6 linked regions of the Oryctolagus cuniculus genome follow. The protein of the gene in region 6 interacts with the protein of the main gene of each other region in a biochemical or structural test. Links are inferred from orthologs where the notes say so. Each region holds a gene or a part of one and is shown on either strand. Other genes may lie near its edges.

Region 1 (4,860 bases), on a different chromosome or scaffold from region 6:
ACTTCCTGCCCTTTCCGCTCCCAGGCAGCCGCTGTTCTTTGGGGTCTGCACGGCAGCCAGGACAGGCGTCCTCACACGGGGGCCGTGGTCAGCACAGGACGGCCCCGGGAGGCGCCGCGCTACCCCCGCCCCAGGGCTGTGGTCAGGCTGAGCGGCGGACACCCGGCCCATGGGGCCTGGGGAGCCGCAAAGGGCTCTGCAGCAAGACGGGCCCAGGTAAGAGCCGAAGCTCTGGGGGCAGCAGGGGTCGCTCCTTCGGGGGGCTGGGGCGTGGGCGGCCACTCACCAGCCCCCGGCCCCACGCCGCCCCGCTCCGGGGACCAGCAGCCCTTCTGCGAGCCCAGAAAGCCGAAGCTCGACTGCTGGAAGCGGTCAAAGTCCCCGAGCGGCAGCGCCCGGTACCCAGACCTGCCGAGCATGGCTCCTGACAGGGGGGCGCGGCCAGCGCCGCTGACCGCCGGCCCCAACCCTCAGGCCCCGCCCCCGCGGCCGCCGCTTCCGGCTTCCCTTGCGCGGCCCCGGCCGTGGCCGGAGAGGAGGCAGCCCGGGCTGCTCCCGCCGTCGCACGGCGCCACCCAGCGCTGGGAGGACCGCACTGCGGCCGGGCCGTGGGGGTGTGGCCTGCTCCTGCTCTTGCTCCTGGCTGGTACTTGGCCTTAGATGGACGCTCCTCGAGGTGTCCACACAGCCCGGCTGGCTCGGGGTGGGTGGTGGCGTAGACAAGTCCCGGCTGGAGGAGCTGCTATAGAACCCCAGAATTGGCCGGCGCCGCAGCTCACTAGGCTAATCCTCCACCTTGCGGCGCCGGCACGCCGGGTTCTAGTCCCGGTCGGGGAGCCGGATTCTGTCCTGGTTGCCCCTCTTCCAGGCCAGCTCTCTGCTGTGGCCCGGGAGTGCAGTGGAGGATGGCCCAAGTGCTTGGGCCCTGCACCCCAAGGGAGACCAGGATAATGCCATCGGATCAGCGCGGTGTTGATCACCTCCTAGGTGGCCCCAGCCTCCCCTCCCCCCTAAGGAAGACACCCTAGGAGAATCCTCTCTCGCCCAGTCTGAAAACTTGGCAGGAATTTCACACTCAGCAGAAGAGGATAGGGGGAGGAAGATCTGGACCCCATGCCCTTCCAAGCACTGACCGCTCAGCATCTCCCCAGCTGCCCCTGGCCCAGCAGGTGCACTGCCTCCGTCAGGCTGTGTGACCTTGCTGTCCTCGGTCCGAGCGGCTAGAAGCCGTCTCTGATTCCGTCTGCAGAGGGGCCTGTCGGTCCCGACCGATGCCTGCCCCCGAGAGCTTGCTGCCTTGCTGCCCGCGCCTCTCTGTCTCACGCCTGAGTCCTTCCTGGCAGAAGAACTCTGTCCCAGCCGCGTCCGCTCCGGGATGTCAGCTACAGGGGCACGGGATGAATCAACAGGGGGTAGAGATGCATCCCGGACGCCAAAGGCGGGAGAGCTGGGGGCGACAGTGCTGCAACGAGAGGAAATGCAGGCTGGGACCCCATAAACCGACATCAAAGGGCGTTCCGAGCTCTCCAAGCCCTGAGTCTCCAGTGACCAGCCCCCTCTCCAGCCCAGCCGGGGCTGCAGCCTGGGGTCTCCGAGGACATGGTCAGCTCCTGGGTGGCCTGTGTCCCCAATACCCCTGCTGGGGCTGGGCCAGAGCTGCAGGAGCTGTGATCAAAGTGGAAAGTCCCCCAGCCCCAGTCGCGACCCCTCCCCGCGCCCCAAGTCACTTCCTCCCGAGAGGCGGGCCCTGGCCGGCGCCTCCCCTTTGGCCTGACTCAGCCTCTCGTGCCGTTTCTCCCGCCCTCCCCGATGCAGACGGAGAATCGAAAGTGAACCGGACCCATGCAGCAGGATCCCGCGCCCGCCGGGTCCCCGGGCTCCCAGCGCGACGCCGGCCCGACCCGCACCCCTACCATGGCGTCCCCGGAGTTGCGCTCCGAAGGTGCCCCACGTAGCCCCAGCCCCGCAGAGGTACTGCGCTCACATGGCGGGGGAGGGGGTCGCTGGGAGGTGGGGGAGGAGGGGGGATAGGTGGGAAGAGGGGGGTGCAACGGGAGACTTGGCCAAGTACCTCAAAGAGTGCACCAGGACAAAGGACCAGGCACCAAAAGAGGTGCCCGGCCTCTCGCCTGGGGCCCGCGTGGGAAAGGGAGGGGACTAGCAACTCCAAGTTCCCAAGTTGGAGGTGGAAGTCGGCGGCCCGGTGGGCGCCCGGAACAGGTGAATGGGCAGGGGCCGCGCGGCTTCTGTGATCTCTTTCCGGAAGCCTCCAGGTGACCTGCTGGGAACCCCCTTCCCGCCTGCGCCCCACCTCCCCCACACACCCACAGGCACTGTGCGGTTGGCTGGCTCTGGGAACGCTCGGAAGCACGGCCTTGCGTTATTACAGCCAAGAATCGGTGGCTTAGCAGTGCTAGTTAGCACTAAGTTAGCACCGTTAGCACCGACTAGTTAGCACTGCCTAGTGCCAGGTGATAGATGAAGTACTTCCGGGGCTGCACTTTTTTTATATATATATGTTGTGGCAAGAGAGACATCAGGAAGAAGTGACCAGTGACTCCCTCCTAAGTGAGCGCATTTCACCCTCGGCCACCCTGCCCCCCAAGTCCAGCTTTGTCGTCACCCTGGAAACTGTGCCCTGCACGCGGTAGCGCCTGGCTCCCGGGTCACCTCTAACCCACTTTCCCACTGTGAACGTGCCCGTCTGGGCTGTTTCTGTAAGCGGGCCCGAGTCGGGGTTTCTCTGCGTGTCTGGCGTAGTTTGTTCAGCGTGATGTCTTCAAGCTTCAGGCATCCAGAGTTCGTTCTGTCCCGGGGCTGCGTGAGGGACAGTCCCTTCACGTGCAGAACGCATTGCACTGCCCAGCTCTGGGTCGAGCGAGGCCTGGGTTCGCGCACCCGGCTGCTGGGAACGGTGCTGCTGTGTGCACACCCTGGGGTCCCAGGGGGCTGGTGGGCCTCTGTTTTCAGAGTTTGATAGTTAGGGATGGGAATTAGGGCTAAGGTGGCTCAGTGCTTAGCAGCTTTGGGGGGAACCCCCTATCTGTGTAGAAGGGGGTACCTGGCTCACCTACCATCCAGACTGAGCTCCGTGGAGGTGGAGGTGTGTCCTGGGTCACCGCTGGGTCTCAATGAGCACATGCTGAATAGATGGGGTACTTGGGTCGTGCGTGGAGCAATGACAGGGTGGCAGGGGATGGTCCGGTCCCCCCCCCCCAGCCACAGGGACGGATGGGCGGCTGCAGAGTGGGGACTCCTGGGACTTTTCCAGGCCTTACCTCCTCCCTGTTGTCCTCCCTCCCCCAGCAAGCCGAGGAGGAAGACTTCCAGTTCCTGCAGTGCCAGGGCTGCCACACCCAAGCCAAGTGCCCCAAGCTGCTGCCTTGCCTGCACACGCTGTGCTCGGGGTGCCTGGAGGCGCCGGGCCTGCACTGCCCCATCTGCCAGGGGCCCCGGGCCCTAGACGGGGCGCCCGTCCTGGACAACATCTTCTTCGAGAGTCTGCAGCGGCGCCTGGCCGTGCACCAGCAGGTGGTGGACATGCAGGCCGCCTGCACGCGCTGCAAGGAGCCCGCCGACTTCTGGTGCTTCGAGTGCGAGCAGCTCCTGTGCTCCGGGTGCTTCGAGGCGCACCAGTGGTTCCTGAAGCACGAGGCGCGGCCGCTGGCCGAGCTGCGCAGCCAGTCAGTGCTGCAGTTCCTGGAGAGCACCCGCAAGTCCAACAACATCTTCTGCTCCAACCCCAACCACCGCAGCCCGATGCTGACCAGGTGAGTGGCCCCGGCCGGGCGTGGGTGCTGGGTGGGGGCATGCCGGAGCTGCTGGGGGCCCGGGGTCTGCAGATCGGGGGGTCCGTGGTGGTGACCCCAGTGGGAGACACCTGTCACCAGACCGCCAGAGGCGCTGGATTCCAGGAGCAGGTGCAGCGGTCAGAGCCGGAGCACCGGCAGCCAGGGCAGACGCCACAGCAAAGACGACCAAATCAGGTCAGAACTACTGTATTAACCAGCAAGCTCCATTCTGTTTTTACGCATGTAACCATTCCTATGCAGAGTGGACAGTGAGAGAGAGAGACAGAGAGAAAGGTCTTCCTTTGCCGTTGGTTCACCCTCCAATGGCCGCCGCAGCCGGCACGCTTCGGCCGGCGCACTGCGCTGATCCGATGGCAGGAGCCAGGAGCCAGGTGCTTCTCCTGGTCTCCCATGGGGTGCAGGGACCAAGCACTTGGGCCATCCTCCACTGCACTCCCGGGCCACAGCAGAGAGCTGGACTGGAAGAGGGGCAACCAGGACAGAATCCGGCGCCCTGACCGGGACTAGAACCTGGTGTGCCGGCGCCGCAAGGCGGAAGATTAGCCTAGTGAGCCACGGCGCCGGCCACCAATAAGATTTATTTAAGAGAGCGAGAGAGTGAGAGAGAGGGCGCAGAGTCTCCGAGCTTCCGTCATCTGCTGGGGGAACTGTGCTGATGAGTTTGAGTATTTCAGTTTCCGTGGAGACCAGAGATTTGTAACATGTTCACAGAAAATGAGGGCTGTGAGAAGGCTGTGCGAGGACTCCCAAAATGTTTGCGCCAACAGAAGCGTGTCTTTTAACGCCCGTGTCCCAGGCGCGTTCGGAGAGCCCCCTCTCGGATGCAGATGAGAGAAGTCTCTGAGGGGTCCGTGTGCGTGGGAAGGGGCTCCTCCTCGCTCGGCAGGGTAGAGCTGTGCACCTGCTGACTGCCAGGGGCTGGGCTCTGCCTCCAGAGAGACTTCTGCACCAGCGGCGAGTCCCCGCTTCTGTCCCCCCTCCCTCACCACCTGCTGTCACTGGTTTCGGTTTTGTTTCTTTTGACGGGCGTGGTGCTTAGTGGCTGGTG
Region 2 (3,922 bases), on a different chromosome or scaffold from region 6:
CCCCTTATAAAAGCCGCCCCCTCCGAGGCAGAGTCGCCATCCCCCGCAGGCGTCTCCCTAGGATCGCGCACGCGAGGACTCCGCCGAGCGCCCAGGGTCGAGAGATGCAAACCCGTCCGCTCCGGGCACTGCCACACAGCCGCGCGGACTGTCGCTCCAGAACTTGACCCGCAAACTTCGGCGCGTTCTCCACGTAGTGGTGTTGGGGGGAGGGGGGACCCGACTCTCGCGAGACCGCCTCCCAACTGGAGCCCACTTTCCGCTCGCCCCCACGGGGCACTCCGCGGAGCACCTTCAGGGCGGAGCTCCCGGCCCCCGGAAGTGCGGGGCGGGGTGGGGGGAGGGCTCGGACCGGGCGCTCGGCCTCCCAGCCCTGCACAAACGCTGGGGCGCCACTTGGAGCCCCCTCGACTCCGCCAAGTGGGGACACGCCCGCGCCCACTCGGCCCCAGGCAGCTGGCACAGCTCTCAGCCTTCCGTGACCCGCCATCCGCGTCTGGAGCCCTGAACTTGAGCCCCCGCCTCCGTCAGCGGCTGCGAGCGTCCGGCCGCCCGCCCGCCCGCTCGCTCGCTCGCGGCGGCCACCGTCACTAGACAGTCAAACCCCAAGACGTCAGCCCACAATGCACCGGGCGGGCCGGGAAAGACGGGCCGGGAGGGGACCGGGAAGAGAGGGGCTAGAGGCGCGCGGAGGGGGAGGGGGAGAGGAGGAGAAAGAAGGGCCCAACTGTAGGAGGGCAGCGGAGCATTACCTCATCCCGTGAGCCTCCGCGGGCCCGAAGAAGAATCTTCTAGGGTGGGGTCTCCATGGCGACGGGCGGGCCCGCCCCCCAGAGAGCGACGCGAGCCAATGGGAAGGCCTTGGGGTGACATCATGGGCTATTTTTAGGGGTTGACTGGTAGCAGATAAGTGTTGCGCTCGGGCTGGATAAGGGCTCAGAGTTGCACTGAGTGTGGCTGAAGCGGCGAGGCGGGAGTGGAGGTGCGCGGATTGAGGGAGACAGACACACAGACACAGTCCGCCCGCCCCGCCAGGACGCCCGTAGAGTGCGATCCGCACGGCTGCGTTGCTTTGCCAACTGCCCCGCGCTAGCGCCTGTGGATCCCGGGCTGGTGTTTGGGGGGAGCACCTGGAGAGCTGCTGCTTCTCCAGCCGCCCCCGGGGAGGAGAGCCCCACCGCACGAGCGCAGCTGACAGCCGCGGAGAGCGGCGACTGCAGCGGCCAAGAACTTTCCGAGCCGGGAGGACCGGGGACAAGTGGCCCGGAGTCCCGGAGCGAACTTTTGCAAACCTTTCCTGCGCTATTTGGGCTTGCCGCGGCGGCAGCAAAGAAAAGCAAGGCGGCGGAGAGAGGAGCGAAGAGGAGCGACGCGCGCGCGGCTCCGCTCGCCCCGGCCTCTGAACTTGACCGGCGCGAGCCGCTGCCGCCGGGAGCCCCCTGCCCCTCGCAGCGGAAGAGGGCACAGTCTCCGGGAGTCCGGGCGGCCGAGACCCGCCGCCACTGCGGGGCACCGCGCCGCGCCGCCGGGGAGCCTCCGAAGGGCGCGCAGTGAGTGACCGCGACTTTTCAAAGGCGGGCAGGCGCGCGCGAGCGGCCGAGGAGTGCGGGCGAGCGTCTGAACCCCGCCGCTCCCGGGAGCGGGGGCCGGTGAGCGGGGCGCCCAGGGGGAAGACAGCCCGCGGGTGCGCGCGCGCTCCGAAACTTTTCCTTTGCCAGAGGCCCGGGGAGGCGCGGGGTGCTCCCCGCCCGCCAGCGCGCTGTCGCGGCCCCGAAACTTGTGCGCGCAGCCCAAAGTAAGCCCACGTGAAGTGACGGACTGTTCTATGAGTGCAAAGATGGAAACGACCTTCTACGACGATGCCCTCAACGCCTCGTTCCTGCAGACCGAGAGCGGCGCCTACGGCTACAGTAACCCCAAGATCCTGAAACAGAGCATGACCCTGAACCTGGCCGACCCGGTGGGCAGCCTGAAGCCGCACCTCCGCGCCAAGAACTCGGACCTCCTCACCTCTCCCGACGTGGGGCTGCTCAAGCTGGCGTCGCCCGAGCTGGAGCGCCTCATCATCCAGTCCAGCAACGGGCACATCACCACCACGCCGACCCCCACCCAGTTCCTGTGCCCCAAGAACGTGACCGACGAGCAGGAGGGCTTCGCCGAGGGCTTCGTGCGCGCCCTGGCCGAGCTGCACAGCCAGAACACGCTGCCCAGCGTCACGTCCGCGGCGCAGCCGGTCAGCGGGGCGGGCATGGTGGCTCCGGCCGTGGCCTCGGTGGCGGGCGGCGGCGGCGGCAGCGGCGGCTTCAGCGCCGGCCTGCACAGCGAGCCGCCTGTCTACGCCAACCTCAGCAACTTCAACCCGAGCGCGCTGAGCAGCGGCGGCGGGGCGCCCTCCTACGGCGCGGCCGGCCTGGCCTTTCCCGCGCAGCCCCAGCAGCAACAGCCGCCGCCGCCGCCGCAGCCGCCGCACCACCTGCCCCAGCAGATCCCCGTGCAGCACCCGCGGCTGCAGGCGCTCAAGGAGGAGCCGCAGACCGTGCCCGAGATGCCCGGCGAGACGCCGCCCCTGTCCCCCATTGACATGGAGTCCCAGGAGCGGATCAAGGCGGAGAGGAAGCGCATGAGGAACCGCATCGCCGCCTCCAAGTGCCGGAAAAGGAAGCTGGAGAGGATCGCTCGGCTGGAGGAAAAAGTGAAAACCTTGAAAGCGCAGAACTCGGAGCTGGCGTCCACGGCCAACATGCTCAGGGAACAGGTGGCACAGCTGAAACAGAAAGTCATGAACCACGTTAACAGCGGGTGCCAACTCATGCTAACGCAGCAGTTGCAAACGTTCTGAGGACAGACTGTCGAGGGCTGAGGGGCGACGAAGAAAAAGAAAACAAAACCAACAGAGAGACAGTCTTGCGAACTTGACCGGTTGCGACAGCGAGAAAAAAATAAAAAAGACGCGTCCGAGGACTAAGGCCAAGGGTATCCAAGCCGGGCTGGGTTGCGTCCTGACGGCGCCCCCAGTGTGCACGAGTGGGAAGGACTTGGCGCGCGCTCCCCTTGGCGCGGAGCCAGGGAGCGGCCGCCTGCGGGCGGCCCCGCTCGGCGGAAGGGCTGTCCCCGCGCCATCACGACGGTAGACTTTTCTTTAACATTGACCAAGAACTGCATGGACCTAACATTCGATCTCATTCAGTATTAAAGGGGGGGAGGGGCGGGGTGACAAACTGCCATAGAGACTGTAGATCGCTTCTGTAGTACTCCTTAAGAACCCGACCGGGAGGGCTGGGGAGGGGCGGCGGGGGGCGGGGAGGGAGCCGGGGAGGGCCAGGCTGAGCCTGCAGATACACTCTTTCTGGCCTGCCTTCGTTAACCGTGTATGTACAGATATCTATTTTTTAATTTGATGAAAGCTGATTACTGTCAATAAACAGCTTCATGCCTTTGTAAGTTATTTCATGTTTGTTCGTTTGGGTGTCCTGCCCAGTGTTGTTTGTAAATAAGAGATTTGGAGCACTCTGAGTTTACCATTTGTAATAAAGTATATAATTTTTTTATGTTTTGTTTCTGAAAATTCCAGAAAGGATATTTAAGAAAATACAATAAAATATTGAAAAGTAATCCCCCCCAACCTTTTTTCTGCATTATCTCTAGATGCTAGGTAATCTGGGTGCAATCAAGAGAGTTTTAGTGTCCATCAGGATCGCTCAGTACTTATTGCTTTCAAGCAGTACAAACTCCTGGATTCCCTACTGAACTTTAGAAATAAGTGGTCCTGGTGTTATCATCAGGTCTCAGACTTCCCAGTTGATCACCAGAGGGTAGTGGGGGGTGGGAGAGGGTGGGTCCTGGGGACTGGAGGAAAGGGGGTTTGGGGGCAGAGGGGCAACCCACTGGCAAGTCAGACACCTCAAAGTTTGGGATTCCATCA
Region 3 (4,361 bases), on a different chromosome or scaffold from region 6:
GAGACATAACAGTACATTAAGATCCCTGTTAGATCGTAATATCCTTAAAAGGCAAAGGTCATTTGAAACACCTTTAATGTCTATAACATGAGCTGAACAGTGTCGAAACACGAGTTAACCTAGTTGATTTTTGGAAATATCTCAGACTGGGCGGAGAAAAATCTCCCACATTTTCTTGACTCCAATAATCAGTACCACATTATCTCTTCATCAACATAATGAGACAGTATCACTCTATTTTTATGGGGCTCAACTTTATTTACAAAGGGATTTCTTTACCTCATCATGTCCTCTGTGCTGTGCACCATGAACACACAGATTTGGTTTCTTCTTGAAATCTGCTACACTTCTGTTTGGTAGCCAAGGTATCACGACATGGTATGGCCAGAAGTACAAGACCACCACAGCCAATATTACCAGAAATAAAGTGAACAGCTCACATAATGATATGGAGTTTTCCCAGATATCACATTATTTGACTCTTACCAGAACCCAGGAAGACAGGAAGAGATTATTAGTTCCATGCAACAGAAAAGTAGTCTGAGATTCAAAAGGGTCAGAGCAGAGCTGAGACTCCAATGTTGATCTTTGAGCCAGGATAATTTAAAAAACAAAACACACACACACACACACACACACACACACACTTGTTTAGAGAAGTCAAGGATATAAGCTTTAAGAATAAAGGTGGATTTACCCAGACAAAACGCTGAGATTTGCAGAATCACCAAGCAGTCTGTCCCCTGGAGTTCTCGGGAGCTCTGGACAGAGGGTAAAGGAATTGTCTCTCTCCAAGAGCAGGTGTAGCATCTTCCTCTGATTGGACCTAAAACTGGGGCCTGAGCCAAAGCTCCCCTCCTCTCTCGTGGACGAAAAGAGATCTGCAGCCATGGTCTCGGAGCTCTCACCAAGGAAAAGGCGAAACCTAGCGAGAAGAGGACGTCGCTCCTGTAAGTGCAGCGCAGCCCCTTCCGATTCCAACCCCCTCAGGTCTGCAGTCAAGGGGACCGGAGCCGCACCAGGGGCATCCCCAAAGGGCGGATCACAGCCTCGCTCGACGCCTAAGGCACTGGCCCGAAGCGGCGGGGCTTTTGCGTCAGAGCCTGCACTTACTGAGAGGCAACCTCAGGACTTTAACCGCGGAATACAGACAGACCTTCCACCTGCTCAGAGCCACACAACTGGACACTCCTACCTGGAAGGGGCTCAGCTCTCCCAAGTCATGGCAATGCCCATTCCGTCCTCTGAACTAATCGAGGGGACAATGAGGTCCTGGGCACTCTGTGGCGGAGACAGCGGCCAAATTTACCTCACGTTTGTAGTCTGACAACGGCCTTCGGGAGAAAGTGGGTAGCGGTCGGACACGAGCGAAGACTCGAGCAGAATGAAAGGACGCGGTTCACCAGCTTGAAATTCCGCTTGTCCACTGCGTAGGCCAGGGTCGGGCTTCGCCGCCCCTCAGGTCAGAAAGCCAGCGCTAGAGCCTCTGGACAAGCCCATCAACAGCCGCGAGTCTCGACCATTCAAACCTTCCGCCCTCCCACTAACCTATCCCCGCTGGCCTCCAAGACGCGTCAGCCAATCTCCGCGCGCCCGCCCACATCCTGGTAGCCAATCTTTTGGCTCGTACCTCACCCGGGGGGCGTGAGCAGGTTCCGGAAGTGGGACAAAACATGCCCCACCCCTGGAGCCAGAGCAGGATGGCGAGTGGTGCACTAGCGTCGGGCAAGCTTGTGAATAGGCTCCGCCCCGCAGGGAGCCTGACGCACCACTGGCTCTCCCTCTGGCCAATCGCCACACCTTCTCTGTACTTTCCCTTTGCCCCGCCCCGCCAACCCCGGGAGATTTAAATTGCTCCTCGTTAACCACCACCATTTGCTAGGATATTAGAAGAGATAATTAGGAGTGTGAGGGTGTTTTAAGCATTATTTTTTCCTTGCTTTTCTTGCGTCGTTATGGGACCTTTCCGTCTTAGCTAGCTTTCCTCTGAGGACCAGGCATTTGCTGCGGGGTGGCAGGTGGAGGTGTGAGCAGGTGTGTGTGTTTATGCTAAGCAAGATAGGTGCCTTCCAAGGAGCTTCCGTTGTCCGGTGTCCCTTTGAGAGCGCAGCAGCTCACAGTCGATAATTATGTGGGTAAAAAGAAATTGCTTCTCAGGGAAAGTAAGGAAATTGAATCATCCAGGCACAATCCATCCTTATCACAGTGCAAAAGATCTTTAGAAATCTGAACACTGACTAGTTGAAATTTTTTAATACTGGGAAGATGCTTCTTAATAATTGGGTGGTTTATAGATGAGATTTGTCATGACTCTTGGGTAATGGAGGTGTCCATCATATTAGGGTTTCCTAAAATTTAGTTTTGCCTTCTAATCATCTGGAGATCCTGTCAAAATGCAGAGTCTGTTCAGCAGGGCTGCATTGTGTCCCAAGATCCTGCACTTTAAACAAATGCCCAGCTGATGTTGAGGCACTTGGACTTGGGACCATACTTAGGTAAGGGATTATGCTATACTCGTCACACTTCAGTGTGTATTTAGAATGGCTCATATTAAAAAAAAGCTTTATAAGCTTATAAAAGCTGTTTAAAATGCAGGCCCCAAAAAAGATGTTGCCACAGGTGTAGTGTGGGGACCAGGTATTATCAAGACCTAACCACCTCACCCCAGGGTACTACCCATACAGATGGCTCACAGACCCCACTTTGAGAAATAAAAGTCAGAAATGCAAACGTTATCTTTGAGATGCAGTAAGTCAGCAATACAACTTATATTGACCTCAGGATCTTGGTGATGGTAGTGAATGAGCAGTGCAGACTAGTCAGATGAGTTTTATTTTAACTTTTTCATCTGTGGAGCCTGCTTCCCCAGAAAGGAGGTTTGTGAACAGTCTTTGTCCTCCAGGACAGAGGTGCTGAGTGTGGGAGTCAGCACAAAGCCTTACTCTACCAAATGAGCTGGAAAATCAGGCAGGAATTAAGAGTGTGTGCATTGATTTCTGCTTCGATGTATTTTAAAGGGAAGTCAAATTTTGTCTTTTGTATCTTGACTTCTGAGGGGATTGGAATATATCTAATTTACACTTCCCAGAAGAAAGAACATCAGGATAGTAAGAAGCTAGGTGTTTAGACTGACATGAAGATGAAGATGTACTTTTTCTGTTAGATAGAGGATATTGATCTTATGTCATTCCCAGAAATTACTATCTAGGCTCCCGATTCACTGTGATAAGCAGTGAGCTGTGTCTCTTCATGTTGACCTCAGTGTGACCCATATTTGTTATTGCCAGGCCACAGTGACAGCCAGGGCTTCACCTTCAAACCTCAAACAAGAACAGAAGGTACAGCCATTGCTCCTCAGATATCCAGATTAGGTAATGGAGAAGGACCTACACACCTGGGACCCCTACCCACCTCCGGCCAATCTCTACAGGGCAGGGTGTCACTACTGCTTACTTCCATGAGTGATGGACTGAGTTCTGCCTCTCCCCACTTTGAAGAGGTTTAATTTTCCCTGGGTGAAAAGGGAGCGTCCGCACGAATGCATCTGCCTCTGACTTTGCTACCTTTGTAGGCAGGGAATGGAGCGACCCCTCAAGCCAATGGATTCTTCCCTTTGGAGGACTTCCTGGATGACTAGCACCAGGCCCTGGAAACCTCATTGAATTTGCATGGACACCAGAAGGGGGCCCAGGAAGCATACTCTGCTGAAACTCTTTGGAGCAAGATCACAGGTGGGGTCTGATCCATGAGGGAATAATTAAGATTGGACTCCGGGGCTGGCGTTGTGGCATAGCTGGTTAAGGTGCTGCCTATGACACTGGCATCCCATATAGATGCTGGTGGTTTATGTCCCAGCTGCTCCATTTCCTTTCCAGCTCCCTGCTATGTGCCTGGGAGGGCAGTGGAGGATGGCCCAAATGCTTAGGCCCCTGCACCCACACGGGAGATCTGGAGGAAGCTTCTGGTGCCTGGCTCAGCCCGGTGACCATTTGGGGAGTGAACTGGCTGTTGGGGGATCTCTCTCTCACTCACTCTCCCTGTAACTTTATCAAATAAATAAAAATAGCTATTTCAAAAAATTAAAAAATGTAGAGATGCAATGACTTTGAATAGCCCTTGTTTCTACTGTTAACACTTTTTTGTGTGTGTGTGTGCAAATTGTTGAACCCTTTACTTAGTATAGAGTTGGTCTTCTGTGTATAAAGTTAACTGAAAATGGATCTTAGTGGAGAATTGGACTGGGAGTGAGAGAGGGAAGAGGAGGAGGGTGGCAGTGTGGGTATGGTGGGAAGAATCACTATCCTACAGTTGCACTTTTGAAATGCATGATGTTTGTATTTCTTCAATAAAAGGCTTATTGG
Region 4 (4,361 bases), on a different chromosome or scaffold from region 6:
GGGGGTCAGGAGGATGAGTAATTACAACCCCTCAGTGGAATGGATTCAGTTGCTTTTCAGTGAAAATGGGAACTTTTTCCACCCCCAGAATCTGTTTATGTACTTCTATATAAGTCAAAGGAGTTGGTTTTATTTGGGTGGTAGTAAGCATGGATATTACTATCTTTATACTTAAATGTTTAATTCTTTTCCCCACCAACATGTCTAATTCTCCTGAAATATTTCCTAAAAGAAGTTTTCAATTAAGAAAAAAACTATGCTGTGACAGGTATGCAAGCATGAAATAGTAACATATTAGGGATTTGCTTTAAAAACTAGGAAAAAAGGGGAGGAGGAGGAAGGTATGGAACAGATCAAAATCTAGTAGCTGTGCTGGTAACTACTGACAACGGATGACGAACACGTGGGGAGTCACGGCACACTTCTCTCTGCCTTTGGGTAAAGTTGAAAACATCCATGAAGTTTTTTGTTTTTAAAAAAAGCTGTAAGTTCAAAATTAAACTGAAAAGTAATCCTTAAAAAACCCCAGTATTATATTAATATAGCCCAAAGAACAAAATAAACAATCCTTGAGTTCATTACTGACATAAATAAGCAAACAAGGAGAGGGCCAGCTCTTCCTTAGAGGGCCAACTAGTGAAACGCAGGAGCAGGGAAAAGAAAGAGCACGAGAACACAGTGAGCACTGCTGCAGGCAGGCCCCGCCGTGGGCGCTAAACTCGGCACGGGACACTGAGCCTAGCAGTCATACATCGGTTAGGACACCTGCGTGTCACCTGACTCACCACTTCCTGCTAATGCAGACCCTCCGAGGCACTGGCAATGGCTCAAGTAACTGGGTCCCTGCCACTGACATGGGAGGCCTGGACCGAGCTCCTGGCTCCAGCCTTAGCTCAGACCCAGCTGTTGCAGGCATTTGGGCAACAAACCAGTGGATGAGAGCTTTCTCTCTCTCAGATAAAAATAAGAGAAACCCATCAGATGCCACGGTAACCAAGTGATCACAGTTAATAAACACCACCACTAACAAGAGAAAAAAAAAATCAATGTGTACCCCTGATAGACTACATGGAGCCGGCGCCGCGGCTCACTAGGCTAATCCTCCACCTGTGGTGCTGGCACCCCAGGTTCTAGTCCCGGCTGGGGTGCTGGATTCTGTCCTGGTTGCTCCTCTTCCTGTCCAGCTCTCTGCTGTGGCCCGGGAGTACAGTGGAGGATGGCCCAGGTCCTTGGGCCCTGCACCCGCATGGGAGACCAGGAGGAAGCACCTGGCTCCTGGCTTTGGATCGGTGCAGCGCACCGGCCGTAGTGGCCATTTGGGGGGTGAACCAATGGAAGGAAGACCTTTCTCTCTAACTCTGCCTGTCCAAAAAAAAAAAAAAAAACCCACGAAACAAACCAGAGTCCACGGAGAAGGGCGCATCACTTCTGCTGCACTCCCCCAAAGTCTAGAACCTCAGTGTGAGCGCGAGGAACTCCAAATCCACAGAAAGAGCGGAAGTGGAAAACCTGACGAGGGCCCAAGACAGCCTGGAGTGTGAAACTACCGGGGCCGACGCTGAGGGGGAGCAGTGAAGCTGCCGCCTGCTCCACCTCCTATCCAGCTCTCTGCTATAGCCTGGGAAGGTGGTGGAAGATGGCCTGAGCCCTTGGGCCCCTGCACCCGCGTGGGAGACCCGGGAAGCGGGGAGCTCCTGGCTTTGCATCGGTACAGCTCCGGCCATTGTGGCCAACTGGAGAGTGAAGCAGCAGATGGAAGACCTCTCTCTCTCTCTCTCTCTCTCTGCCTCTCCTTCTCTCTCTCTGCATAACTCTAACTTTCAAGTAAAACAAATAAATCTTAAAAAAAAATTTACAAAGTGAAAAGTAGAATTCAAAAAAGAAAAAGAAAAGATACTGCCCTGTGTTTTAGTCCTTCTCTGTGGTTACACAACACGCTGATGCGCGGGAAGCCAAGGGAAGGGTATATGGGAACTCTCTCTGCAATTGCTATTATCTTTTAGAATTTCTGTATAAGCCTAAAGTTATTCTACAATAAAATTCTAGAAAGTAATCCCTAAATATTGAAAACTAACAAACAAATGAACTTAAGTTGTCTATCAAACTGAGATACACCTAGAGGAAGTATTTCAAGCTACTTTAAAAAAAAAAAACAAAACAACATATCTTTGGAGCCAGCACTGTGGCGTGGCGGGTTAAGCTGCAGCCTGCAGTGCCGACATCCCATATGGGCGCTGGTTCTAGTCCCAGCTGCTCCACTTCCGATCCAGCTCCCTGATATTGCACCTGGGAAAGCAGTGGAAGATGGCCTAAGTCCTCAGGCCCCAGTACCCACATGGGAGACTCAGATGAACCTCCTGGCTCCTGGCTTCGGCCTGGCCCAACCCTGGCCATGGCAGCCATCTGGGGAGTGAACAAGCTGATGGAAGATCTCTCTCTCCTCCTGTAACTCTTTCAAATAAAATAAATAAGTCTATATTTTAAAAAGAAGATTGCTCTAAAACTATATTGTATCCATGTTAAATTTCTTGAGCTTGATAACTGTTATGCACTGTGGTTATATAAAATAATCTTTGTTTTTAGGAAATACACACTGAAGTATTAAGGGTAAGAATGGAATACTTACATACACAACTTACTTTTAAACAATTCTGTGTGCATGCAATGCAAATGAATGATGTCTTCAAAAAGTTAATGGAAAAACCTGTATTATGAAAAACTACAGGTTCAACTTCGCACCAAAATAAACTTCTAATTCCATTTTTTTCCCATTAACTTTTTGAAGTACCCTCATGTGCAGTATACGTGGGAGGTAGAGGAAGAAGATAAAAGTAAATGTAAAAAAAAAATGGCAACTGGTGGATCTAGGGAACAGGGTAGACGGAAGAGGAGCTTCCTGTTTGTTCTTCCACCTTTTTTTAACCTTGAAATAATAGCAAAATAAAATGCTACGAAAAAGGGAATCGCAAACATTATCATACACCCAGATGTCCCCCTTTAAAGTAAGTATTTCCTGACTCTGTCCTATAGAAGAGACCCAGAGGAAATGACAACCTAGGTAATGGCACGTGACGTTAGATTTTCCTAAGAAAATCGAAGCCGCATACTGAAGTTATGGGTACAATGGCAAGATGTCTGAGGTTAACTTTAAGAATATATCAGAGAAACAGGGAAGGCTCCGCAGGGCAGGTGTGACTGCTCAGATGGTGGGGACCTGGAGGCTCCCACAGCCTGCTCAGGGTGTGTATTTGAAACTGTTCCTGTCTCCTTCAATGAAGCATGAAGAAGTGATATTAGGGGCCTCGGTTCTCTCTGGGGTTCTGTGTCTGACCCTCCCCTTGCTTTACCTTTATTAAGGACGGTGAGAGGCTTCCGGCTGCTGGGGTCCAGGCTGCTGGGAGCGATTGAGAACCTGGGTGGAATGGTGAGGCAAGTGATGGGCAGCCGGGCAGGGATGTAGCCGGAAGTGAAGAACTCGTCACTGAGCAGCTCGTTAATGGTCGGGCGGGCAGAGGGGTCTGTCTGCAGCATCTTCTGGATGAGGGACGCAGCCACAGGGTTGATGTGCTGGAGCAGAGACAGAGAAAGCCCTGAGCCGGGCGTGGCCGTGGACTGGGACAGCAGTGCTGTCATAGCGGGACCACAGCCCACAGGGCAGCTCCGGGTCTCAAGTAAGCCATGGTTCCACAACTAAGAACATCGCCAAGCTCCCCCTTATCGACCTCACGGAGCTGACGAGTGAGAAGGATCACGTTTCTTCCCTCTTGGAACTCCAGATTAAGCTGTTTTCCCCCAGACTTGCCCTTGCACACCTAAAGTTGCTCGTCTCCACTGCAGCGCCTTGAGGACACAGGCTTTGAGGTCTTGCACCTGTTTAAACACCGTTTTGCCCTCATCTCAGCTACGACAAGCAACCTGCGCTTTGTAGGGCCTTTGGGGCCGCATCTGTAAAAGGACGGTGAGCACCAAGCTTGGGGCCCTGCTCAGAAGCCTCGATGGGCTTGTCCTCGCACAGGCTGGGGCAGCCACAGCCTGGCACTGGCTCTGCACGCACTATGCGCCGGGGCAGTGTTCTCAGCGCTTGCTGTTCACTAACTCTCGTGGACCTCACACACACCGCACCTAAGGGCAGGGATGTCTGTCTGCCTTCCTCTACAGAGGGGGCTGAGGCACGGAGAGGGTGGGGGCCTTGCCTAAGGATACCCATCTAGCTCGGGAGTGACAGGAGCCAGCACCAACCCCACGTCTGACCGCAGTCTGACCCTCTGAGGCCGTCACTCCTCTGTCCTCCCACAGTCAGAGCACTTGGCTTCACATATGCCAAGAGCCGCAAACTGGAAACCGGCAGTGTACCAGGCCTC
Region 5 (4,361 bases), on a different chromosome or scaffold from region 6:
GCGGGGCTCGTGGAAGGTAGGGAGGTAGGAAGCTTGGTTGTCTGGCGGAGAGATGGTGGTATGGTGAGCTCTGTTTATTTGAGAGGTAGATTGACAGAAAGGGGAAGACAGATTTTCTGTCTGCTAGTTCACTCCCCGGGTGCCCACGGCATCCAGGACCAAAGGCAGGAGCCAGGTCTCCTTCGTGGATGGGCCATCAGCTGTGCCTCCAGCTGTGTCAGCAGGGAGCCGGATCAGCAGCTGAACGAGGCGCTCCACTATGGGATGTAGGCGTCCCAAGTGGCGGCCTAACCTGCACCACGGCACTCACCCAAACGAGTGAGGGAGCGCGGGCAGACAGGCTGTGGGCGGGGGTTGGGCTTGTTTGCGTGGCCCTGGTCCCCAGGTGTGCTTCCCTGGTCCTCCGCGGGGAGGGAGGCACCTGCTGATTGCTGCTCCCCTGTCCCCTGGGGGATGGGCCCTGGCAGCTCTGCATCCCCTGCTCGCTGTGCCCACAGGTCCTGACTTCCTGGTGACGGAGGTGGAGAACGGTGGCTTCTTGGGCAGCAAGAAGGGCGTGAACCTCCCCGGGGCTGCGGTGGACCTGCCTGCCGTGTCCGAGAAGGACATCCAGGATCTGAAGTTCGGCGTGGAGCAGGACGTGGACATGGTGTTTGCCTCTTTCATCCGCAAGGCGGCTGACGTCCATGAGGTCAGGAAGATCCTGGGAGAGAAAGGGAAGAACATCAAGATCATCAGCAAAATTGAGAACCACGAGGGGGTGCGCAGGTGAGTCCCCGGACGCCAGCCGGCCAGCCCGCCTCGCGCCTGCTCGCTGGGCAGCACACTGCAGCGGAAGGCTGTGCAGGCGGTCTGACGTTGCTCCGTGGCCGGAGGACCCACACCAGAGAGCAGGCCCCTGCGCACAGGACGGGGGCTGGCACCGTTTCCTGACCGGCGGCCGTGGGGAAGCGCGGGGTCGGGGTCTTGGTCTTCCCTCAGAAGGGCTGGCCTGGCGATGAGCCACTCGCCCCCAGAGGGAAGCCTGGGGGTCTTCTTCAGGTCCCCAGGCTGCCCCAGCCCAGCCTGACCACCTCCGCCGTCTCAGTGTGGCCAGCTGGCCCCTCCTAGAGCAGTAGCTCGTGAGGGGCAGGGCGGCAGCAGCCCTGGGGCCCACAGCCTGGTGTTCTGGCCGTCTCCGGCTCTGCCTGGGCATCCTTCCTACCACATGAGCTCGGCTCTCTGCCTTTGCTGTCCTGATGGGCCGGGCTGCTGGCTCGGGCCGGTGATGCGCGTGCCCTCTTGCCTCCCTGGGGCATGCCTGTGGTGTCCTTGGCTAGATGAGGCCGCCGACCTTGGGGTGGGAAGCAGCCAGCAGCGTCGGTGCCCTTCCTGGGAAATGCTGACTGGAGCACTTGAGGGCCTCACAGGGTCAGGTGGAGAGGCGGGGCGGGGCATCCCAGAAGGTGTCGAGGCCCAGGAGCCGGGAGCCTGGCCACGTGCACGCATCTGTGCTGTGTCGGGCCCTCCGAGTTAGGGGTCGTGGCCGGGGCTTCCTGTCTGTCACCATACTTGGGACCCCTGTGGAATATGACTTCTGTTTCGTCCCTGCGCCCTCTGTCAGGTTTGATGAGATCCTGGAGGCCAGCGACGGGATCATGGTGGCTCGCGGTGATCTTGGCATTGAGATTCCTGCAGAGAAGGTCTTCCTTGCCCAGAAGATGATAATTGGGCGATGCAACCGTGCTGGGAAGCCTGTCATCTGTGCCACGCAGGCATGTGGCCCTCCCTGGGGACCCCGTCCCTGTGCACCCCCAGTCCAGCAGGGTCTCACCCGTGCTCTGCCCCTCCCAGATGCTGGAGAGCATGATCAAGAAGCCCCGCCCCACCCGCGCCGAGGGCAGTGACGTGGCCAACGCGGTCCTGGATGGAGCCGACTGCATCATGCTGTCTGGAGAGACGGCCAAGGGCGACTACCCGCTGGAGGCCGTCCGCATGCAGCACCTGGTGAGTGCCCAGGGCCCCGCTTCCGCGGAGCCTCACTGCACAAGTGAGGCACGTGCTGGGCGTGGGGCGCCCCTTCTGCCCCGCCTCCCAGCTCCTGTCCGGAGGAGTCACCCCAGCTTCCGAGTCCTTCGCTTGAGTCCTGGGGTACTGCTGCCCTCAGCAGATGCCTGTCGCCCTCCTCAGAGGTCCAGGGGCTTCAGCACCTTTGGCCTGATCCGGAAGACACCAGGGCTCCTGCCCCCAGCTGCTCTGTTTGGCTGCTGACTGGACTCCCTGCGGGGCCTGTGTGCACCCAGCAAGCTGCCTGTGAGCCGGCCTTGCATGGTGCCTGCAGCGGGACCGGCTTCTGTGCTGTGGGGGTGCAGCTGCCTCACTTAGTCCAGACGACCCAGAGGGGCTTGGGAAGGTGGCCAGCCCCGGTGGTCCTCACACTGGAGTCATCTGCAGGAGTCTGGGGCTGGGCCATAGCCGCCTGACCTCTTCTGTAGGTGGGAGCCCAGGGCTGGTTGTCAAGGCCACTCGGGCTTGGTGCACCTTGAGCCCCAGTCACCTGGAGAGTGGCTCCCTGTGGTCTCTGACGCTCCTCTGTCTGTGTGCTGTGGTAAGCTCAAGCGGGAGGGTGATGACCTTGTCTGAAGCACACGGACTACAGAAAGTGTCTCTGGGCGAAGTCTCCACTCTCTCAGGACCTCGTCTGTAAGCTGGATTAGATGAGATCTACGACTGCTGGCTTTAGTTCTGATAAGTCCCTGGTACACTGATGTAATCCTGACAGCTCCCAGCATAACCAGGGCTGTGGGACAAGAACTCCCAGGACACTGACCCAAAGCCGGCCTTCTCCCTGCGGTTCCCCTGCCCAGTAGGACTTAGAACGAGGCTCTGGGTCCCAGAGTTGGTTCTGGGTTCTGAATTCTGTGCCTCTTTCCCTTAACTGGTCTTTCCCATGGACAGACAGCTTAGGGCGTTGCAGGCTCTGGGCCAGGATGTGGCTGCCCTGCAGGTGGTGCAGGCCACTAGCCGGCAGCCGCCTCTCAGTGTCCGTGCTCGGACTGATGCACTGACCCGTAACTCAGGGCTAGGCCGCACCAGGTATGGCCCTGGCTCCTGTCCCTGTCCCTGTCCCTCGGGCTGCATGCACTCATCCCATCGTTAACTCGGCGGTGCTCCCCGCGTCTGCTTCCGCTCGGAGATGAAATGAATGGGGCGGTGCTGCTGACCCTTCCTCGCCCGTTGATGACTAAGCCACTGGGAACTGCATTGTAATCTCGAACGCTTCCACTCGCTTTCTGATTCTCAGTCTCACCTGAGCTGGTGGTCTGTGGTAACTCAGCTCTCTCGCGCCTGTTTTAATCAGTAGCTGTTAATCAAGCGTCCTGTGACGTCCCCGCATGCTCCCATGGGTGTCTCTTCACATGGCTGTTCAGGGCGGCCCTCGCGAGCTGGCCTGTGCTGCCAGCTCTCCTGCGTGGCCTTGGCTGCTGACGCCTGCCTCCCAGCCCTGTTGTCTGTTCCCACGGCGGGCACTGGGGAGAGCACCCTTGTGCCTCAAGCCAAGCAGCCTCCATGTGGCACAAACACCCAGACAGCCAAGTGAGGAGGGGCCTGCTCCTTCCCGAAATCTGTGTCACGAGGCAGCGTGGTCAGGTCCAGCCTGGGCAGGTCTCCATGCCACGGCGCTAGAGCCCGCGGCCATGCTGGCTGGACCTGGACCCTCTGCCTCTGCTTGACGACCCGATTAACCCGGGGTGCCTTCCTCCCTGATTAATCCCCCGTTCTGTCTTTCCGTGTCTTGTCTTCCCTGTCTCCTCCTCCTCCTCTCTTCCTTGCCCTCTCCCCTAACCCTTACAGATAGCTCGCGAGGCTGAGGCAGCCATGTTCCACCGCAAGCTGTTCGAAGAACTTGCGCGAGCCTCCAGTCACTCCACAGACCTCATGGAGGCCATGGCCATGGGCAGCGTGGAGGCTTCCTATAAGTGTTTAGCGGCAGCTTTGATAGTTCTGACGGAGTCTGGCAGGTAGGGCCCGAGGCCAGGTAACGCTGCAGGGGACCCTGCCTCTTGCGCCAGCTGCTCCAGGATGCGCGGCCTGGGCCCAGAGCCTCTGCTCAGCTGCAGGAAGACAGCCAGGGTGGTCAGGACAGGGCAGGACCGGAGGCTCTGCCTCGGTAGGCAGCGGCGTCTCGGGCAGCCGGTGGAGGAACGCCCCCGGGGAGTCTGGCTCTGCTGCTCCCGGGCTGCAGCCCTCAGGCTCGTGTTGGCCTTGCTGGGCCGTGTCCCCCACCCGCTGTCTGTAGACTCATCCCCTCCCCTCTCTGACAAAGCTCTGACGAAGCTCTGTCCCCTCTCGTCCCCCTGGACGGATGTTGCTCCCCTAGA
Region 6 (5,157 bases):
GGCCTCAGTCTGTGGTATTTTATTATGGAGCCCAAGCTAACAGATCACTGTAACCATCCAAGGGAACATGAGTGAACAGACAGAGGGGTGCCTAATCCCAAAAAGGTTTAGGGACAAACTCCCTGCCCTGCCCTACAACTCAATAAGCTGCTTCTAGTCCAATGGCACCCAGGCACCAAAGGGGAAGGGGCCTGGGCAGGGAAAGAAGTCAGGATTATGTCCCCAGAAGACCTAAGATCCAGCAAGGGGCCCAGAGGCCCAGCCTAGGACCACTGGCCCTCCCTGGGTGGGGGATCCTCAGGTCGGGGCCTCCCTGGGACCCTGGGCACACAGGCATGGAGGGACGGGAAACAGGCAGGGATGGCTCCCCCTGGCTGGCCGCTTCAGGCAAGGACACCAACAGTGACACTGGGCGGGCCTCGGATTCCTGACAGCCCCTGGCGGCAGCCCAGCAGCTGCAGAGGAGCTGATGCTGGGAAGAGGAGCCTCTGCAGAGAGGTGGAGGCGCTGATTCTCGCTGCAGACGCGTCTCCCGGGGCAGCACCGGGTCCCAGTGGGCACTGAGGAGACTCGTGTGGGCCCAGGCTGCCAGCTGGGGAGGGCGCTGGCCAAACCATCGACTCCTGATCCTCTGGAACACAGCCAGACCGGGGGAGCAGTCACCTGCACACACAGGACAAGGCCCAGGCACCCAAGGCTTGTGGAAAACACACAGGATGTCTGGTTACTGAGTGCGCCACAGCCAAGGCCGGCTCACCACGGCCTCCTAGCAACCTCTGAGGGTCCTGCACCAGTCCCACCTCGAGCAGGACGACACTGAAGTCAGAGAAGGTCGCAGTCCAAGGTCACCAGAGGGTCTATGCTGAGCCCACCAGACCGCCCGTGTCCAGGCCCAGAGATCTTTCCAGAGAAGCAGCCCATGAGCCCAGGCCTTCCCTCGACCTCAGCTCCCCCATGCATATGCCTCAAGGACTGGGGTCAAGCCCCAGACACCGAGCCCACGGCTCCCGGCTCTTCATGGGGACACGCGCCCAGCCTACAGAGGCAGCCACCGAGGCTCAGAGAACACAGCTGCTCCAGGACACACAGCTGGCACAAGACCCCAGTCCTGAGGAGCCCAGGGTGTGGTGGGCCTCCCAAGCAGAGCCTCGCCCACTTCACACACCCCTGCATCCTCCCAAGTCTGTCTCCTGAATCTCTCTAGAATCCGCCTCCCCCTCATTTCCACCCTCGGCCCACCCCAGGCTCGAGCCACACTGCCTCTGCCTGCAATCTCTCCCACAGCCTCCACAGGCCCCCCCCCCCCCCCCCCGCGCTGGCAGCCTGCTGACATCCCCAAATCTCCACCTACGGAAGAGCGGGCCCGGGCCCACCTGCTCATGGTCTATCCCTTCCTAAGACCCAAGCTGGTGAGTGCAGCCCCACCGCAGCACCGACCCAGAGCTGGGAAGGCCGCTCAGCCTCCTGCCACCTTACCCGGATCACCCCACATGTCCTTTTGGCCTCCCTGCTCTGCTGAACCCAGACCTGCGTCCGGCTGCCTCCCCAAGTTCCGCCCCCAGCCCCCAGGATTTAAAGGGCCCCGCCCAGGATGAGCCTCTTCCCAAGTTCCCTCTGGCAGGAACTCCTGCAGCTCTACCTCCAAACGCCCTCTTCCTCCTGGAGTCGGCGAGCCTCAGAGCAGGGAGAGCAGAAGTGGAGAGGATCCCGGCCCGAGAGCCCCTGCTCACCGTTGATCAGCTCCAGGGCCTCCTCCTTGGTCCGGGTGATCTTCTCCTGCCGCCAGGACGAGGGCCGCCGGGACTGGCTGTGTTTGACGAGCAGGTGCGAGCAGCGGACACGCGCCGGCTCCCCCTGCCCGATTTTGCCTCCACCGCTGCTGCTGTTGCCGCTGGGGCGCTCCCACTGGCTGGCGTTCGTGATGTGGTTGAAGTAGTACACCCGGCCTGCGGGGAGGGCAGCAAACCCATCGCGTGTCCACCCTGCGCCACGGGCGGACACGGCAGCGCACAGCCCCTGTACTGAGGGGGCTCACATGCTCAGTGGGGGAAGACAGGCTCCAAACCAGCAAAGACGACAACAAGAGAACCCCAATGACTGCTAACTTCAGGGAAGAAAAAATAACACAGGGGATCGGGGGGTTCCAGCAACAAATCCAGCTGAGCCACCCACTGAGGCTAAGATGCTGTCTGTGGGCCTTATCTCCCCGAGCCTCAGTTTTACTCATCTGCAAAATGGGGGTGAGCGAATCAACACCATCAAACCTCCCCTGGGTCGACACACAAGGACTATTACTTCGACTGTGGCCACTGCGGGCTCCAGGGGCGGCAGAGGGACCCTAGACCTACTCAGAGAAGCCGGGCCAGCTCCTCGGGCGCTCGCGGTGACACAGGAAAAGCGCCAGGGGCCCTGGAGCAGGCAGACTGGGTTCCAAGCCGGCTCCAACCCCCCTGAAATGCACGATCTTGGAAGACATCCTTCCACTTCCTGGCCTCAGCGTCCCCACTTGTAAAATGGGCGCACCAACGACCCATCTCCCAGACGTGCGGCAATTCTCAGAGAACTAAAAACACGATGCGGGGTGCACACCTAACGGGGCCAAGCTTTCGATTGGGCTCCAAGCAGACTCAGGAAGAGGTGTGGCCGGCAGGTGTGTGTGCCACGCCTCTCTGCTCGGTGAGGGGTATCCCCCTCCCCAGGGAGTGCCCCGGGCCCAGCTCCCCGCAGAGCGACAGGTGCAGCAGGCCCGTGCTGGCTGCAGACAGCCGGGCTGGCAGACTCAGTGCCGCCGCCTCAGGGAGCGCCGCGGCCTCCCCGGCCCCTCCCCCGCCCCGCCCCCTGCCTCAGTTTCCTCCCGGCTCCTGAGCCTTGCAGCCCTCCACGGGGGCGGGCCGGCGCCGTTACTCCGAGGGCGACGCGGAGGAGCCCAGACCTCACGGGACGGAAGCGGGGGGCTCCTCCGCGCTCGAGGGCAGAGCTCGCGCCCTGCTTCCGTGGGCCCGCGCGGCCCTGCCCCGGCCCCGATCCCCGCGGCACCTGAGCTGCGGCTCATGCGCTTCTCCCAGCCGGGCGGCAGCTTCTCCTCGTCCGCCATCTTCCCTCCTGCCGCAGCGCCCGCTCCGCCTCCGCCGCGCCGCCTGTCACCCGCGCCCGCCCACCGACGCTGCCCATTGGCTCGGCGTTCTCCGCACCGGGGCCTGGCAGCGACGCTCATTGGACATTCCAACCGTCAGGATGAGCTCTCCGTCTTGCTACTGGGCAGAAGCGAGAGTGGGCGGATCCCCCCACGTTACACTGGTACCCGGCCCCTAGTCGGGCTCACTCAGGCCCCGCCCCTCTCCTCTCCTTGGCTCCTAAGTGGTGGATTAGAGACTCGAGACCGCCCTTCTCAACGCCCTTTGGCGAGAGCGAAAAAAGTCCCAACCCCCTTCTTGGCGCTCTTGGCGGGCGGAACCCGACCCGACAGGATAGAGCTTATTGATTGGCTGCCGGGGCAGCAGTTCCCGCCTGCCCGAGCCGTTCCCGGAAGGCCGCACGACCCTCATGCGGAAGCGTCTGGCCGCTGTGCAGGTTACTTGTGGGAGGAGGAGGCGGTGGTACCCGTGCTGTTGCCATAACAACGCAGTTGCCTTGGTGACGAGCAGCTCAGTGCCCGAAGCCTAAGTTTGGCTTCTCCAGCCTCCCTCTTCCCACCTGCTTCTTCCAGATGTCCAAAGCCAACCCGGCCTCGCTGGGCTAAACCATTTTCCCCCCGCGGGCCCTTTGGAATCTACTTATTTCCTCTCACTCTGGCTGCTTCCTCCTCCCTGGCGAGGAGAGCGCGAGAGGAGGCGCAGGTGGGAGAAGCATGAGCTGCTGCGGGGGTGGCCGGGAGTGCCAAGGGCTGCAGGTGAACAAGGGAGCGCTTTATCGGTGTGCCAGTTCCAGACCTAGCTCCTCCACTTCTGATCTGGCTTCCAGCTAATGCACCTGGGAAGACAGCGGATTATAGTCCCTGCACCCACATGGGTGCCCCTTAACAACATCGAGGCTCAGAGACGTGGCTCAGGGAAAACACAGAGGCAGGACGAGGTAGGAGGCCAAGGGCGCTGCGGAGCCACCTTGCTTGGGGGTGAGGGGGTGCGAGCAAGTTACTGAACCCCCGTGCTTCAAGTCCTCCGATTGCAAAGTCGGAGGAAGCAATACTACCACTTCTTCTGTCTGATGCGATGGTTAAGGAGTGGTCCCTATAAAGCACTCAAAACACTTCCTAGCCTACAGCTAAGATATGTTAAGTATTATAGGCTTATATCACAGCAAATTTATAGATTCATTAAAATGTTGACTACCAGTGGTGATACAAGTCAAATGACAAAAAATGAAGAACTTTTTAATGTTCTCATTTTTAAGCACATCTTAGCATAATAATTGTAAAAGATAATTGGAGTTGCAAAAATAGATTTCACCCAGCTGGCAAATGGGATAGCATTTGACACAGCAGAACGGAAGTTTTCACTTAGGAGCAGTTTTGTTCTCCAGGGGACATCTGGTGATGTCTTGACAGTTATGGCTGTCACAAAGGGAGGAAGGGACAATTTAGTGGGTAGAGGCTGTGGAGACTGCTGCACATCCTGCAAGGCATGGGCCAGCTCCCCACAGCTCAGAATTCCCCAACCCCAAATGTCAGCATTGCCACAGCAGAGAAACCCTGCCATGGAATAATCCTCAAAGCTAGGAAATCAACAGCGGTGTGAACCTCTTCACTACACACTGGTTCCATCTTCCCACTGTTCTGTAATGCTTCAGGATGGGCTTGTCTCACGCCAGCTCGCGGTGGGACTGAGGGTGTGTGTGGACCCTGGACTCCTCGCTCTGCATCACACCAGGTGGCTGATGATGTTCAAAATGCATTGCCGATTGCATTTAAGCTGTCTACTGCTGCAGAGAAAAACTGCCCTTCATGTAGGGAGTAACACCTATTTCAGTGTGTGTGGGTCAGGAATCTAGCTAGGCACAATGTAGCTCACGTCAGCAGGGTGGCTGTGGCCTCCTCTGATGGCTGGACTGGGGTAAGATCTACCTCCAAGCCAGTTCCTGTGGCTGCTGGCAGGAGTCAGCTGCTAATGGCATGCTGACTAAGTTCAAGAAATTTTTAAATCCATGGTTTTTTCATAGTAT

What was found.
Region 1: the proteins of PIN1 (region 6) and PML form a complex in vitro, tested with the Homo sapiens proteins (2 studies listed by BioGRID and IntAct). The link is inferred for Oryctolagus cuniculus from reciprocal best matches to the Homo sapiens genes PIN1 and PML.
Region 2: the proteins of PIN1 (region 6) and JUN form a complex in vitro, tested with the Homo sapiens proteins (2 studies listed by BioGRID). The link is inferred for Oryctolagus cuniculus from reciprocal best matches to the Homo sapiens genes PIN1 and JUN.
Region 3: the proteins of PIN1 (region 6) and CDC25C interact in a test that uses a peptide from one of them, tested with the Homo sapiens proteins (2 studies listed by BioGRID, with this or other methods). The link is inferred for Oryctolagus cuniculus from reciprocal best matches to the Homo sapiens genes PIN1 and CDC25C.
Region 4: the proteins of PIN1 (region 6) and PLK1 form a complex in vitro, tested with the Homo sapiens proteins (3 studies listed by BioGRID, with this or other methods). The link is inferred for Oryctolagus cuniculus from reciprocal best matches to the Homo sapiens genes PIN1 and PLK1.
Region 5: the proteins of PIN1 (region 6) and PKM form a complex in vitro, tested with the Homo sapiens proteins (2 studies listed by BioGRID, with this or other methods). The link is inferred for Oryctolagus cuniculus from reciprocal best matches to the Homo sapiens genes PIN1 and PKM.

Annotation. Positions count from the first base shown.
Region 1 is NC_091443.1:109,482,990-109,487,849, reverse strand, and holds the start of PML (protein PML), read left to right. Parts: upstream 1-1,777; 5' UTR 1,778-1,842; coding exon 1,843-1,971; intron 1,972-3,306; coding exon 3,307-3,770; intron 3,771-4,860. Other genes in the region: STOML1 (stomatin-like protein 1), read right to left, coding at 287-419.
Region 2 is NC_091438.1:114,258,181-114,262,102, forward strand, and holds JUN (transcription factor Jun), read left to right. Parts: upstream 1-1,825; coding exon 1,826-2,839; 3' UTR 2,840-2,940; downstream 2,941-3,922. UniProt on the Homo sapiens protein: Transcription factor that recognizes and binds to the AP-1 consensus motif 5'-TGA[GC]TCA-3'.
Region 3 is NC_091437.1:26,128,890-26,133,250, forward strand, and holds part of CDC25C (M-phase inducer phosphatase 3), read right to left. Parts: intron 1,526-4,361; exon of another isoform or gene 1,196-1,525; intron 926-1,195; 5' UTR 892-925; coding exon 698-891; intron 1-697. UniProt on the Homo sapiens protein: Functions as a dosage-dependent inducer in mitotic control. Tyrosine protein phosphatase required for progression of the cell cycle. When phosphorylated, highly effective in activating G2 cells into prophase.
Region 4 is NC_091450.1:15,668,325-15,672,685, forward strand, and holds part of PLK1 (serine/threonine-protein kinase PLK1), read right to left. Parts: intron 3,568-4,361; coding exon 3,348-3,567; intron 1-3,347. UniProt on the Homo sapiens protein: Serine/threonine-protein kinase that performs several important functions throughout M phase of the cell cycle, including the regulation of centrosome maturation and spindle assembly, the removal of cohesins from chromosome arms, the inactivation of anaphase-promoting complex/cyclosome (APC/C) inhibitors, and the regulation of mitotic exit and cytokinesis.
Region 5 is NC_091443.1:110,893,163-110,897,523, forward strand, and holds part of PKM (pyruvate kinase PKM), read left to right. Parts: intron 1-497; coding exon 498-768; intron 769-1,603; coding exon 1,604-1,754; intron 1,755-1,833; coding exon 1,834-1,986; intron 1,987-3,834; coding exon of another isoform or gene 3,835-4,001; exon of another isoform or gene 4,002-4,360; coding exon 4,361-4,361. UniProt on the Homo sapiens protein: Catalyzes the final rate-limiting step of glycolysis by mediating the transfer of a phosphoryl group from phosphoenolpyruvate (PEP) to ADP, generating ATP.
Region 6 is NC_091447.1:67,377,329-67,382,485, forward strand, and holds the start of PIN1 (peptidyl-prolyl cis-trans isomerase NIMA-interacting 1), read right to left. Parts: upstream 3,192-5,157; 5' UTR 3,095-3,191; coding exon 3,037-3,094; intron 1,947-3,036; coding exon 1,731-1,946; intron 1-1,730. UniProt on the Homo sapiens protein: Peptidyl-prolyl cis/trans isomerase (PPIase) that binds to and isomerizes specific phosphorylated Ser/Thr-Pro (pSer/Thr-Pro) motifs.